Saccharomyces cerevisiae S288C: one gene and its partners. Changing the gene in region 3 together with the main gene of any one other region gives a genetic interaction. Each region holds a gene or a part of one and is shown on either strand. Other genes may lie near its edges.

What was found. A genetic interaction does not mean that the proteins touch.
Region 1: mutations in PPE1 (region 3) and YNR061C together harm fitness more than expected from each alone (negative genetic interaction), as found in Saccharomyces cerevisiae (one large-scale study listed by BioGRID).
Region 2: mutations in PPE1 (region 3) and YGR035C together harm fitness more than expected from each alone (negative genetic interaction), as found in Saccharomyces cerevisiae (one large-scale study listed by BioGRID).

What each region holds. Positions count from the first base shown.
Region 1 is NC_001146.8:741,355-745,747, forward strand, and holds YNR061C (uncharacterized protein), read right to left. Parts: upstream 2,187-4,393; coding exon 1,527-2,186; downstream 1-1,526. Other genes in the region: FRE4 (ferric-chelate reductase), read left to right, coding at 1-756; PUL3 (Pul3p), read right to left, coding at 3,006-3,989.
Region 2 is NC_001139.9:555,546-559,781, forward strand, and holds YGR035C (uncharacterized protein), read right to left. Parts: upstream 1,878-4,236; coding exon 1,527-1,877; downstream 1-1,526. Other genes in the region: 60S ribosomal protein uL24 RPL26B, read left to right, coding at 267-285, 763-1,127; YGR035W-A (uncharacterized protein), read left to right, coding at 2,020-2,241; CAX4 (dolichyldiphosphatase), read right to left, coding at 2,604-3,323; long-chain fatty acid transporter ACB1, read right to left, coding at 4,186-4,236.
Region 3 is NC_001140.6:247,225-252,256, forward strand, and holds PPE1 (phosphoprotein phosphatase methylesterase 1), read right to left. Parts: upstream 2,418-5,032; coding exon 1,215-2,417; downstream 1-1,214. Other genes in the region: QNS1 (glutamine-dependent NAD(+) synthetase), read left to right, coding at 1-1,113; type 2C protein phosphatase PTC7, read left to right, coding at 3,877-3,931, 4,025-5,001. UniProt on the Saccharomyces cerevisiae protein: Demethylates proteins that have been reversibly carboxymethylated. Demethylates the phosphatase PP2A catalytic subunits PPH21 and PPH22. Forms inactive complexes (PP2Ai) with phosphatase PP2A-like catalytic subunits.

The sequences.
Region 1 (4,393 bases), on a different chromosome or scaffold from region 3:
TGGCAGTCGCATCCATTTACAGTGATGGATTCTTGCGTAAACGATAGAGAATTGGTCATCGTTCTGAAAGCAAAGAAAGGTGTGACAAAACTGGTAAGAAACTTTGTTGAACGTAAAGGCGGCAAGGCATCCATGAGATTAGCTATCGAAGGCCCTTATGGCTCCAAGTCCACCGCCCATCGCTTTGATAATGTATTATTGTTGGCAGGTGGCTCAGGGCTTCCCGGTCCAATTTCTCATGCCCTTGAATTAGGAAAGACAACAGCTGCAAGCGGTAAAAACTTTGTACAGTTAGTCATAGCAGTAAGAGGACTAGACATGCTCAACGCGTGTAAGAAAGAACTAATGGCATTAAAGGGCTTGAATGTTCAAGTTCACATTTATAATTCTAAGCAAGAGCTAGCTTCGGCTGAAAAAATTTCCTCAAATGAAGTCAAAAACGGTGAAACGACAGCAGAGAAGGCCCCATCTAGTCTAAGCAATTCAGAAAAAGCTCCTTCTGAAAGTGAAAATACAGAACTACCTCTTTCCCTGAATGACACGTCTATCTCCGATTTAGAATTTGCCACTTTCCATGTTGGAAGGCCAAATGTTGAAGAAATACTAAATGAATCTGTTAACCATTCTGGTTCACTTGCCGTCGTATGTTGCGGACCACCTATTTTCGTCGACACCGCTAGAAATCAAACTGCCAAAGCTGTTATCAGAAACCCATCAAGAATGATTGAATACTTGGAGGAATACCAAGCCTGGTGAACAATTTTTCATATTTAAGTAAACACTCAATGTATAATATCCTCTAACTGTTGTAATTTCATTAACGTAGATGGTTTGCGCCTTTTTTAGGGGACTCTTGTTGATTGATTCTAACTACTGAGGCTTAAGTTGTTTCAAATAACACTTTTTCAGAAAAATAATCGTATTAAAAAGCAGAAAAATCATACGTAAGATGACAGAAGCTTCATATTTAGTAACTCTGAATTGTATAACACACCAATTGCCGATAGAATATGAACCAATCGATCTTCAGCGTTCATGTACTTAATTTAACTACCTGTATTTTCTTATAAAGATAAAATTGGTGTATAATGTAAGGACCAAGAGAAAAAGGAATCCCGCATCCCAAGCAATTTCTAGTGGACTATTTCTTCAAAAAATAACTCAATAAACACCTATATAATGTTCGGAGGTTATACTTTAGTGTTTTAGAATGCAGTACCAAAAGTAATATATTGAATTAATAACTATATGATGTGTAGCTAAGAATTAAATAGTAAACGTCTTCTGAAACCTTTTAAGAGGTAATTATTGGTATTCCAAATTCATATGTGGAGGTAAGGGAGACACAAAATTATCTGGAATGACAGCGTGCTGACACCTATAAGGTTCCGTAACTTCAAATGCCTTCATTACTCAACATAGGAAAAGTGAAAGTGTGTGCCTCTAAAATATACGGAACATCGTCGAACTAAAAAAATCCATTAAGCAAAGTCAGAAACAGCATGCACTACAAGACATTTGGTTCATCATGAAGAATGCTCAATTGAACCATCAATCACTTTCTCTTGTTCGATGTTAGCATTATCCTCACTATCAGTTGAATCCTCAATGCTTTCGGTTTCAGTCCTCGCATCTTCCTGAACTTCAAGATCTAAAAGAGGCTCACTCTCTTCCAGACTGGTCTCCAAGCGGTCCACGGTATCACGTAATGCCTTCACACAAGCCTTCAAAACAGATCTTGTGCTTGACCCATTTTCCTTAGCTTGAGATAGGACTGTGATATAAGAAGCATATGTGGTAGCGAGAAATAGTATGAATAAAACGGCTTCTGGTAAAATATCTATTTTAGCAATCTTACAAGAACCTGAATAATCAAAGTTTATACCCCGTGGCATACTTGAGCAGGACATAGAACCAAATTTTGAAGCTAGAGTTACGAAAGCGGTAAACCACAGGACGGTCTGAACAATTTCCATCACGAATATTAACAGAACAGGCAAAAATCTCACAATCCCAAAATAAACTGAAGATATGATTGAAACAGCTAAGCTCAATCTAAGGATTCGATCCACTTTATAGTTTGTGATTATGGCAAAACTAGCTAACAACAAGTTAGTTACAGATAAGCCAAGTTGGAAATATCTTAGTACGTGGAAAGTAACGGATGTTGTTGTTAACTTTAACATATATGTATTGAGTTATTATTATAGATCTTGACTTGGTAACAAAATATCAAGCTGTAAGCACCGCCTGTATTCTCCTATTTATGGTTGATTATATTTTACTTCTGTTGAACCAAGAAAAAAATAGCAACTCGAAAAGTCGCTTATTCATTCACTTTTTTAATTTTTTTACATATCGCATACGTAATTGGAAACACGCAATTTTAACTTTGGGCAAATACATAAATCATTTTGAGAAGTTGGTTTTTAGTCTCCGAGAGATTATAAACCAACATCCTTAAAAGATAGTATTCATTTCTCACCTGCCAATGCAAGAGCAGATATTATTCAGCAAGCAGTACAGCAAATCGGAAGCGAATTCCAATGACAATTTGCAGAATAAGATTAGAATAATATATTGAGATTAAAGAAAAGGTTATGCGAATTGCCTAACGTCTTTAACTTTGAAGCGGCCAAACTCTAAAAAACCTTGGTTAAAATACAAGCTTTGGCGTCCATGCAAACTGATTACATCATTCAGTATAAAGTGCCATATAAAAGAGGCACACACTTTTCCACAACTGGTTTGAATATAATAGAAGAATAAATCAGAAGGAAACTTTAAATATTAGTAATATTTATTTATGGCCGCTAAAAGATTAGTCCGGATATATCACTATAGAAATGGTAAAGATAATACACTATCATTTCCAAATGTAAAATTTGTTGATAGAACGCCATAAAAAAGAGGCTGACTTTTTGTCGTCCAAGTTCTTCGAAAAAATATACGTCAATGGCACCCGATATATAGCTGGATTTGGACCAGTATATGTCTAAGGAAATCTAACACCTTTTTTTCCTGAGCCAAATAAGCGGTGGAATTGAAACAGCTACCAAAATCATACCAAATCCAACCGCAATTGAAAGCCCCAATCTTGTGCCATAAAGAGCTGCTAATACAATCGGTGCCACCAGTTTACCAATCCCAGAGATTGCTCCAATTGAAGGCATCAACTGGACCTTGAGTTTGGGGTCGATGTACATGGAAAAAAGGGCTGGAATGCTCGAAGCCAAAAAGTTGTACCCTAACAATGTAATCGACATCCCAGCTGAAAAAAATATACCAGAATTTGTGGGTGGCATTGATTTATGCTTCAAGGCTTCGGATGCTCCAATCATAAAAGCTTGTCCCAGCAATGAAACAAACAATGCAAAGATGGACAGAAAAACTTGACCGCTGTACAGCGAATCTTTTTTCTTTACCTCAACGGTCTCACTTCCAGTTGTATCTGACTCTTCTAATCCGCCATCTTTGGCTCTGCCGCAGGAGCACCCGACGTTTATTAACTTTGGAGCGAAATAGCTTCCAGTCACACCAAGTATAGATGCGACCATAAACGCTATGCCTTGAAACTTGGTGTCCCAGTTAACGTGGAGCGTCAGGAATAGTGGCATAAAATAAACTACTTCGCTCATAATAAATGACGATAGGAACATGCTCCATAGTAAAATCAAGCAGGAGATGAGTTTTTTTCTTTCGACTCTAAAAAATTGTTTCAGAGCACTGAAAAGGCTATTTTCCGAATTTGTAACTTTAACCTCAGGATTTTCCAGAACGACAACTAATAAAAGGCATACTGCAAGAATTATGAAACTGGAGGCAAATGTCGGTGCATTGTAAGAGGCAATGCGATACCCTTTAATTTTAAAATCGCAATATCCAAAAAATATGACAATTAATTGTGCCAACGCCATGAAGATACCAGCCGCTGCTCGATAAATTGATAGAAGCTTGAAAACGATACCCCTATCTTGTGCAATTGACATGATGTAACTGAACACTATAGCACCAGAAGCAGATGCTGCACCACATATAATACGCCCACCGAGAAGGGTGTTTAGCGACACTGCACCGCCGCATGAATACAAAAAATTACCCACAAAGGATAAAAAGTAAAGCCCCACTATTACCCATTTAATGGACCCAAGAAAAGCAGCAATATCCCCAATAATGAATGAAACAAAAACTTGAACTGCTGCAGAAATGGCTTGAATTCTGAACAAGAATTTGTCCGGATTGGTTTCTCCGTTCTCTAAATTGTTAGCATACTAGTTCATTGAAATTATCTTAGATTTACATTAACACTTACTTCTTTGATGTAGTCAACCACACTTGAGAGATATACACAGGAGTCGAAACTGAATTGGACAGCTATCAAAATTACAGCCAA
Region 2 (4,236 bases), on a different chromosome or scaffold from region 3:
GCTTTATCATATCTCTTTGATTTTTTTTCTGCTGTCCTCGGCTTGAGGGACTCACAGAGATCTGGAAATTTTCAGATTGTCAGTGCTTAGGATGGGTTGTCAGTAGACGGTGGCCGCCGTGGATGGGAAATCTCATACGTTTACACACATAGTGTTTGGAAATTAATAGTAGCAATAGCTATCTGGCTACTGTTTTAAAGTATTAGCCCGTTCTCAGTGCTTCTTTTTTAAGGAATAACAACGGCAAGACCAAAGATATATCAAATATGGCTAAGCAATCTCTAGGTATGTTTGGAGGATACGAATAACGATAGAAAACATGAGTGAATTTCCGTCCACGAAAAAATGTTAACATAAAATGCAAGAGAACAATTAATCGAATAATGTTAAATTATTGTAAAACAATGTGTATGATGAGGAGGAATGTACCTAAGCCAAAAAAAAAAAAAAAAAAAAAAAAAAAAAAAGAAACAGCTTTTGCATATTCAATCCAGGCATAGGGCGACTATTTAGCACTCAACGATTTTTAAGCTTGTGTATTGCTGACATAAATTCCGGCTTTAGAATCCAATATTGAAAAACGTGAGTACGCAGAGGAGATAGAAGAAAAGTAGGAAGTTACCGTTTATATTGATTTGTGAAATGCATACTCCGTTGGATGTGGGGCAACATAGATTTAAGTGTGGATGAAAATTATGTGCTCATTGTGAAAAAAAAGTTTTGCTTTTACTAACAAATTTTTTTATTATTTGTTTTCAATAGACGTTTCCTCTGACAGAAGAAAGGCCAGAAAGGCTTATTTCACTGCTCCATCCTCTGAACGTCGTGTTTTGTTATCTGCTCCATTATCCAAGGAATTGAGAGCTCAATATGGTATCAAGGCTTTGCCAATCAGAAGAGACGATGAAGTCTTGGTTGTTCGTGGTTCCAAGAAGGGTCAAGAAGGTAAGATTTCATCTGTTTACAGATTGAAGTTTGCTGTTCAAGTTGACAAGGTCACCAAGGAAAAGGTCAACGGTGCTTCCGTTCCAATTAACTTGCACCCATCCAAGCTTGTTATCACTAAGTTACACTTGGACAAGGACAGAAAGGCTTTGATCCAAAGAAAGGGTGGTAAATTGGAATAAACTAGCTCGACTTTAACATAGATCATACAAAAAATACAATAAATAAATCCTGTGTTTCTTTTATGTATATTTTTTATCAATTTCAATTTAGTTTAGTTTAGTTTCTTTAAAAATAAAATTGTAATTTCTCACATTCTGCCTTCGGGTCTCAAGGGCTGGTTGGTAGACGAATGCGCTTGTTTCTAGCTGAGCGGCAGATGCATGAATTCAATGCAAGAAAATGAGAAAACTTCCAATATTAAAATGTGATTGTTAATTATTAGTATATTTATGACAATATATATATGTACATAGGGTGATTATGAAGATGAGTAAGATGCGAATGGATATGAGGATATGAATCTTTTTAGAGACAATGAAGATGCAAAGAAGTAGTTAAGCACATTGACCTCAGGGTTGCTATATGCTACTTTTAGTCCGTTGGATTTCTGAAGCAGTATTGGCCACAAAAATTTCTTCATTATTTCTACGATTAGAGTTTCTTCTGGATTTTTCTCGTCCCTGAGACTTACTCCTTTTCAAGTCATTTTCAGCAGCAGCTTTGATTAAATCATATCTTGTGATTTTACTTGGAGAGCTATTGTGATGGGAACTTTGTCTGCATGTGACTGTATTAGTCAGAGATGTTATGGGCTTAACCATAAGGGAAGAAACTATGGCACGCATGAATGAATTACTGCTTTTACTGCTGTCATCTGTTGAGTTTGCTGAGTCTTCCGTTCTTGTAGTCTTGGCTGGTGTGAGTAACATTACGTATTGTTTCTGTAGAGAAGATAACTTATAACTTCCGTCTTGTCACTAGTTGTTTTAATTATATGTTTGTTACAAGTTTTTATGTATAGATATATGTTACAACTTTTAGAAGTATTGTGGACATAACAGAGAGAAGGGAATGTTGCTATATTTATATATTTTATATATTGCCCTCAAAACTGTATCTCATCTTTTTTTCTGCAATCCTTGCTTTCGTAATCTAAGTGTGGGTGACATGCTAAATCCGCGGCTTTCCTTAAGCTTTTTCACAAACCATCTATTATGTCCAGAAGCTCCGCTGATTATCCGTGGAAAAGGGTCTTATTCTGCCGTAGGAAACTTCTTCTCGAGAAAAAAGTGAGTTCACCCGCGGCGCTCTCGTAAAACCCGAGGGCCGATTCTTTCCCTCCGTGGAACAATCGGCCCCGCGGCGTCAGAGGGTATTATCTCCGCAAGTGATAGAACTCACATTTATTCTACGTTCTGCATGGTTTTGATTATCTTCTTTTGCACGATGTCACATACTTTTTCGATTACCGTCGCTTTACACAGTAACTGTTTAAAACGAGCGTTCTTAATTAATAACTGTAGGAGAGCAGGCTTTCGGCTTTCTTTATGAGAAATAAGGACTACTCCAGCTTGCCAAGTTTTATCCAGTTACACAAACGCTCAAGATCGCCTCGCTAAAATAGATGAAAAAATAAGAAAAATGAAATGTTCAACCTAATCCCTTTTGGATTTATCATTGAAAGATCGCTGATTTATTCTTTTCCAATACGCCTCGTAATTCTCTTTCAATGTCAAAGGCGCCAGATTGTAAGAATCTGTCATGTAAAATAATCTGACAATACGTAGTTTTAAAAACCAATTGATTAAACCAAGCTCTCTTATGATGCCAACTATAAAAAAATAAAGTGATCCAGTCAGTGCCCCCACGCTGAATCCCACGATTACTTGATCTAAATTGTGGTAGTGCAAGTAAACTCTGGAAAAGCAAACGCAAAACGATAATAAAGCCAATGCACCAGAAAAAATGCATTTTTCTAAGAAGTTTAGATTCTTCCAGGAAGTGTATATCTTCAGAGAGTTATAGGTAAAACAAAACCCCATGAATTGGGAGTGTGCACTGGGCATCCCGTAACCGGATCTTATAGTGTCATTTTGGAACGACGCACCGAACGATACGGGGCGTGGCTGTTTTATTATATTCTTGATCACGTTATTGAATATTTCGTTCATCAATTGGCCAAAGGCTACAATGCAGGCTTCTAACTCTCTTGTGATGATAAACCACGACAAATAAAAAGCTAGCACTAGGATGGGCATCAGCGAGAAATATGCACTAAGGAATGATAGAAAGTCATGCGAATCATAGAGAATGTATGTGTCATCGAATGGTATAACATTTGGATTTGGATTTATTGCAGCGGCGGTACTATTCATGATATGATCCGATTCAAAACAAATTTTGATGTAGATAAAATGCCTGGTATAATGAGTGGTAGAGAAGAAAATTAGACGAAAAGAATGAGAACGAAGAAATGATTTAAAGTGATCACAGTGGCAATCACTTTCCCCTTTTTAACGCGTGTTGAGCAATCGATTGATGTCTCTACCATATGTAGCATTTTCTCAGAAGGCAAACTTTTCTTTTTCTTTCTACTTTTCCAACAAGAAATTTTAAGTTTTCCCAGAAACCCGAATTCTCCTATTTCATCCACCACGTAAGAACGGTTTTCTTCCTGGCGTAATTAAAAGCATAAAGAAAAACTGAACAAGCTCTAGATGTAGATCAGGGTATACATGGTGCGCTTCAGTAAGTGTACTGTACCACTAGTTTGGCGTCTGTCACTTGAATTGCGGATTTGTGTAGAGCAATGAAAGCGCTGCTTCTGCCGCCATCAAAAAAAACTGAGTAGTTATTAAAGCCTATGTATGACAATATAAAAATGTATACAGATCAGTCTGTATATAAATCATGAAAATATCTTTAAAAATTTCAAGAGCGTGTTTCCGCTAAACCTTGTCATATTCAACACAAATCAGTATCATTCTCGGCGTAAATTACATGCGAATCTCCCTAATTGTGATTCAATATTCCAGCGAACCCCGAGAATTTAAATAGAACAGAGTATATGCATTTATTAACAGTTATTACGCCTTGTCCCCAGGGAGAGTAGTAAGGGATATGGGCATTTATAAATGTACATAAGTCACGTTTTTGCAGCCAATAAAATATAATAATAGAATAGTAACAAGGAAAGCTAGGCCAAAACTCCTTACATGGAGCTAGTATACCCCTTTTCTAAGAGGAGTACTTGGCAATCAGTTGATCAACAAGGGCAATGTATTCCTT
Region 3 (5,032 bases):
TGGGATTATTTAAGACGTTGTAACGGAACAGGGTTTTTCCTTCCCTTATCTGGGGGCATTGACTCTTGTGCAACTGCAATGATTGTCCACTCTATGTGCCGTTTAGTGACCGACGCTGCTCAAAATGGAAATGAGCAAGTTATCAAAGACGTTCGTAAGATAACACGTAGCGGCGATGATTGGATTCCAGACAGTCCACAGGATCTAGCCTCAAAAATATTTCACTCCTGTTTCATGGGTACGGAAAATTCATCCAAGGAGACAAGAAACAGAGCAAAGGACCTTTCCAATGCAATTGGATCTTACCACGTGGATTTAAAGATGGACTCATTGGTATCCAGTGTGGTGTCCTTATTCGAAGTAGCCACTGGCAAAAAACCAATATACAAAATATTTGGGGGATCTCAAATCGAGAACTTGGCTTTACAAAACATCCAGGCGCGTCTAAGAATGGTTCTTTCTTATCTTTTTGCGCAACTGTTGCCGTGGGTTCGTGGTATCCCAAACTCGGGTGGATTGTTAGTACTTGGTAGCGCAAATGTTGATGAGTGCTTACGTGGGTATCTAACAAAATATGACTGCTCCTCCGCAGATATCAACCCTATTGGGGGTATTTCAAAAACTGACTTGAAAAGATTCATTGCCTACGCATCAAAACAATATAACATGCCAATCTTGAATGACTTTTTAAACGCTACACCAACTGCAGAATTAGAACCTATGACTAAAGATTACGTTCAATCGGATGAGATAGATATGGGGATGACGTATGAAGAATTGGGCGTGTTTGGTTACCTAAGAAAGGTTGAAAAATGTGGTCCTTATTCTATGTTCTTAAAACTTCTTCATCAATGGTCCCCAAAGTTAACACCTCGTCAAATATCTGAAAAGGTGAAAAGATTTTTCTTCTTCTATGCCATCAACAGACACAAGCAAACTGTTTTAACTCCTAGTTATCATGCTGAACAGTATTCACCAGAAGACAACAGATTTGACTTACGTCCTTTCTTAATCAACCCAAGATTTCCATGGGCTTCAAGAAAAATTGATGAAGTTGTCGAGCAGTGTGAAGCACATAAAGGCTCAACGCTTGACATTATGTCTATTGATTAGCACAGAAGAAGTGCTCACAGCAAAATAAGACTTTTCCACGAGTTCATATATTCTGTTATTTATTCTATCATAAATAAAGATATAAAAGTGATATTTAACCCTTATGTATTTTGCACGGTTTTGTGTTGACCCCAATTAGTCTTGATTACTACATTCCTAGAATCGTTCCGCTTCCAGAAATCAATTAAAGTGATTGCTGTTTTTATAGGCGAATCTTCTTGAATGAAATGCCCGGAATCTTGGAAAACTACCAACTGATATTTACCTTGCATTTGCCCCACAATTAATTCTTTATCGAGATTTTCGTTTCCCGCCAATATTAATAATTTACTAACAGGTAAGCCAACAAAGGAGTGCGACAGATCGGTAAACCATGTGTCCCAGAAAGGGCTAAAGGTCTTAAGGTTTGTTATCCTGACAACTTTCCCTGACTTGAGCGGAGCAAATAAAGCTGGTATAGCAATTTCGGCGCTTGACCTCAATCTCGATAACGCGTGTTGAACGTGCCAATCGACAGCGTCATTAATTGATTCAAATACATTGGGTGTATTCTGCAAAAAATGTTCAACTTTATTTAAGGCCATAATGGCAGCCTCTTCTACAATATCTAACATAGTAATACCAAGAATTTTCTTTTGTAGTTCTGTTGATAATTTAGGGTACGCAAAAGTACATATACTTCCACCAAGGGAATGACCAATTAGTATAACAGATACCTTCTGAAGTGGCTCTTGGCTTATTTTAGACTTAAACCAATAATTTAGCAGGCTTACAAAATCTTTGATAAAAGAGTCCCTGTCAAAGCATATAGGCGCATCAGCCTTCTTAAACTTTGTTTCTGCATGCCCCCTAGCATCAAATGCAAAGCATCCGCATCTTCCTTCTAGTTTAGTATTTAATTCCTTGGCCAAGTTTGCAAATGATAAACCTGAGGAGCCCGCCCCATGGTGGAAAATAAAGATGGGAATTGAAGTGGTATTTGATAACAATGAAGTAGGTAATGTATAGTATGTATTTACGTCCAGATCTCTATCAGGAAGACTTACCAACTCCTTATTATCAAAAAAATCACTCCAAGTGGGTAAACTACTCTTTTCCTTACTTGAAATTCTATCAGTAGTACTACCGGTTTTGCCCGTATATTTTCTGTTCCTATTTGATTGTCCATTAAATGATGGCAGGGAACCTAATGCATCACCATCGTTTTCATCATCCTCGTATGCTTCTTGGAATGTCGCATCTAGAACATTCTTGGCTCTCTCAAACTGGGATAAAGCAATTTTTCTTCTCAAATCGTCAGACATTGAAAATTTGAAAATGTCCTACCGTTACTACCAGTTTGTTGCCGTATTTTTGACTCTTTGTTGAGCATTAGTTGATCATTACCGCTGCAGTCAGTTAATGATATCCCTAAATAGGCATATTGTACAATTTCAAATATATTACCCGAATTACAAGAACAATAGGGTCTTCTACAATATTACTATGAACAATTCATAGGGGAACATAGTCCACTTCAATGTCGGTGCCAACGATTCTATTTGTTGTAAGTATATATGCTGTTTCCCGGCAATACTTTATATTGGGGGAATTTTCTGGAGGTTTAAGGGCATATTACTACGTCAAGGCTGGGATTGACCTTCTGGTATATATTACGTTGCGCAGGACATTCCTTATACTTGAGCCTTTGTAAAAACTTCTTCGTTCTCCTGACCAACCGTTCAATTATGTTGTGAATTTTTTGATCCGAGTTTGAAACATCCAAATTCACAAACAAACCGTTGTCATCCTGAGTTGGCGTCGGCCATTGAGCTTCCTCTATGTGTTTTAAATCTTTCATTTTAAGAAATCTAAGTAAGGAAATTGTTTCTCCACATGTGTACCGTATAAAGTTCTTGTTATGAATTAGAAGGATTATCACAAAAGCCCTCCATCAAATCTGATAATTTCATTACCCAAAGACTGTAATACCTTGGGTGTAAAGATCGTATTTTTTGATGTCTTCGTGATATTTTGCAGATCTTTCCATTTTATAAATTTCTGCAAATATCGTGCATCAGCTCATCTTGGAATTGGCACAATCTGCGTAATTTTTTTCTTGGTTCTCTTCTCCTTTTGATTTTAAGAGCGCTTTCTATTCAGTAGCAGATTTTCAGTAAATAAAGCCATCTTTCTCAAGTAAACTCATGATCATGCAGTTGTTCAAAATTACACCAATAACGATGTTATCTTTAAAACTTTCCCCAGAAAGAAGATGGCACTTTTGCACTAAATACTTCAAACTATTTAACTTTGAAGCAGGACATATTGCCGGTTATTTGACCATGCTGGCGCCGTTGACATTCATGTAAGCAGTATTAGCTTTTAAACTGCCATTAACGCACCTATACGATTGCGGCGGTGCGAAAACAGTAACTAGCACTCTTACGGCTCATTGTTTCCTCTATCCAAAGTTGCCTATATCACAATAAAATTAGAAATTAATCATTTTAATAAGCTTGCTGCCATTCAGTGACTCGCAATCTACGTTTTAAACGTAATTTAAAAATCCACTTCCACCTACATATTTTGCAACAGTCGTACGACAGAAACTGAGGCTCTATAAAATGAGATGTGCTAATTGTTCTTTCTTGGCTGGTTTCAGCTACATCTTTCTGTAATCAATCTACAAATTTACACGCGAGCTTCATTTTGACAGTAAACAAATGTAAAAGACACATGCAATAAAAGCGGTCCAGAAAACAAACGACAAAGCCACCAAAAATGTTTGCAAACGTTGGATTTAGAACTTTGAGGGTCTCGAGAGGTCCCCTTTATGGTATGTTTATTGTTTTATTCATTGGTGTGCTAATTGCTAAATTTGCGGGACAAATGCTAATCGACTCAGAGACTAACTTTTCTCATATCATAGGATCCTGCAGTCAAATCATCAGCTTTTCCAAGAGGACTTTTTACTCAAGTGCCAAGAGTGGGTATCAATCGAACAACAGTCATGGTGATGCGTATAGTTCAGGTAGCCAATCAGGCCCGTTCACCTATAAAACCGCGGTAGCTTTCCAACCAAAAGACAGAGACGATCTGATATACCAAAAACTAAAGGATTCTATTAGATCACCTACAGGAGAAGACAACTATTTTGTTACATCAAACAACGTTCACGATATTTTTGCCGGTGTCGCAGACGGTGTTGGAGGATGGGCTGAGCATGGGTATGACTCCAGCGCCATCTCAAGAGAATTGTGTAAAAAAATGGACGAAATAAGCACTGCTTTAGCAGAAAATTCATCCAAAGAAACGCTTTTAACGCCAAAGAAAATTATTGGTGCTGCATACGCAAAAATTAGGGATGAGAAAGTAGTGAAGGTTGGTGGGACAACAGCCATTGTGGCTCACTTCCCATCTAATGGAAAATTGGAAGTTGCCAACTTGGGTGATTCTTGGTGTGGAGTCTTCAGAGATTCTAAACTTGTATTCCAGACAAAGTTTCAAACTGTTGGATTTAATGCTCCTTACCAATTGTCAATCATTCCAGAAGAAATGTTGAAAGAGGCCGAAAGAAGGGGTAGCAAGTATATTTTAAACACCCCCAGAGACGCTGATGAATATAGCTTCCAATTGAAAAAAAAGGATATTATTATATTGGCTACCGATGGTGTAACCGATAATATTGCCACAGATGATATTGAGCTTTTTCTGAAGGATAACGCTGCGAGAACAAACGATGAGTTACAGCTATTATCCCAGAAGTTTGTGGACAATGTTGTCAGTTTAAGCAAGGACCCCAATTACCCCAGTGTTTTTGCGCAAGAGATTTCTAAGCTAACTGGCAAAAACTACAGCGGTGGTAAAGAAGACGATATAACTGTTGTTGTCGTGAGAGTTGACTAACACTCCGCTCTTTAATCTCCTGGAAAGCAGT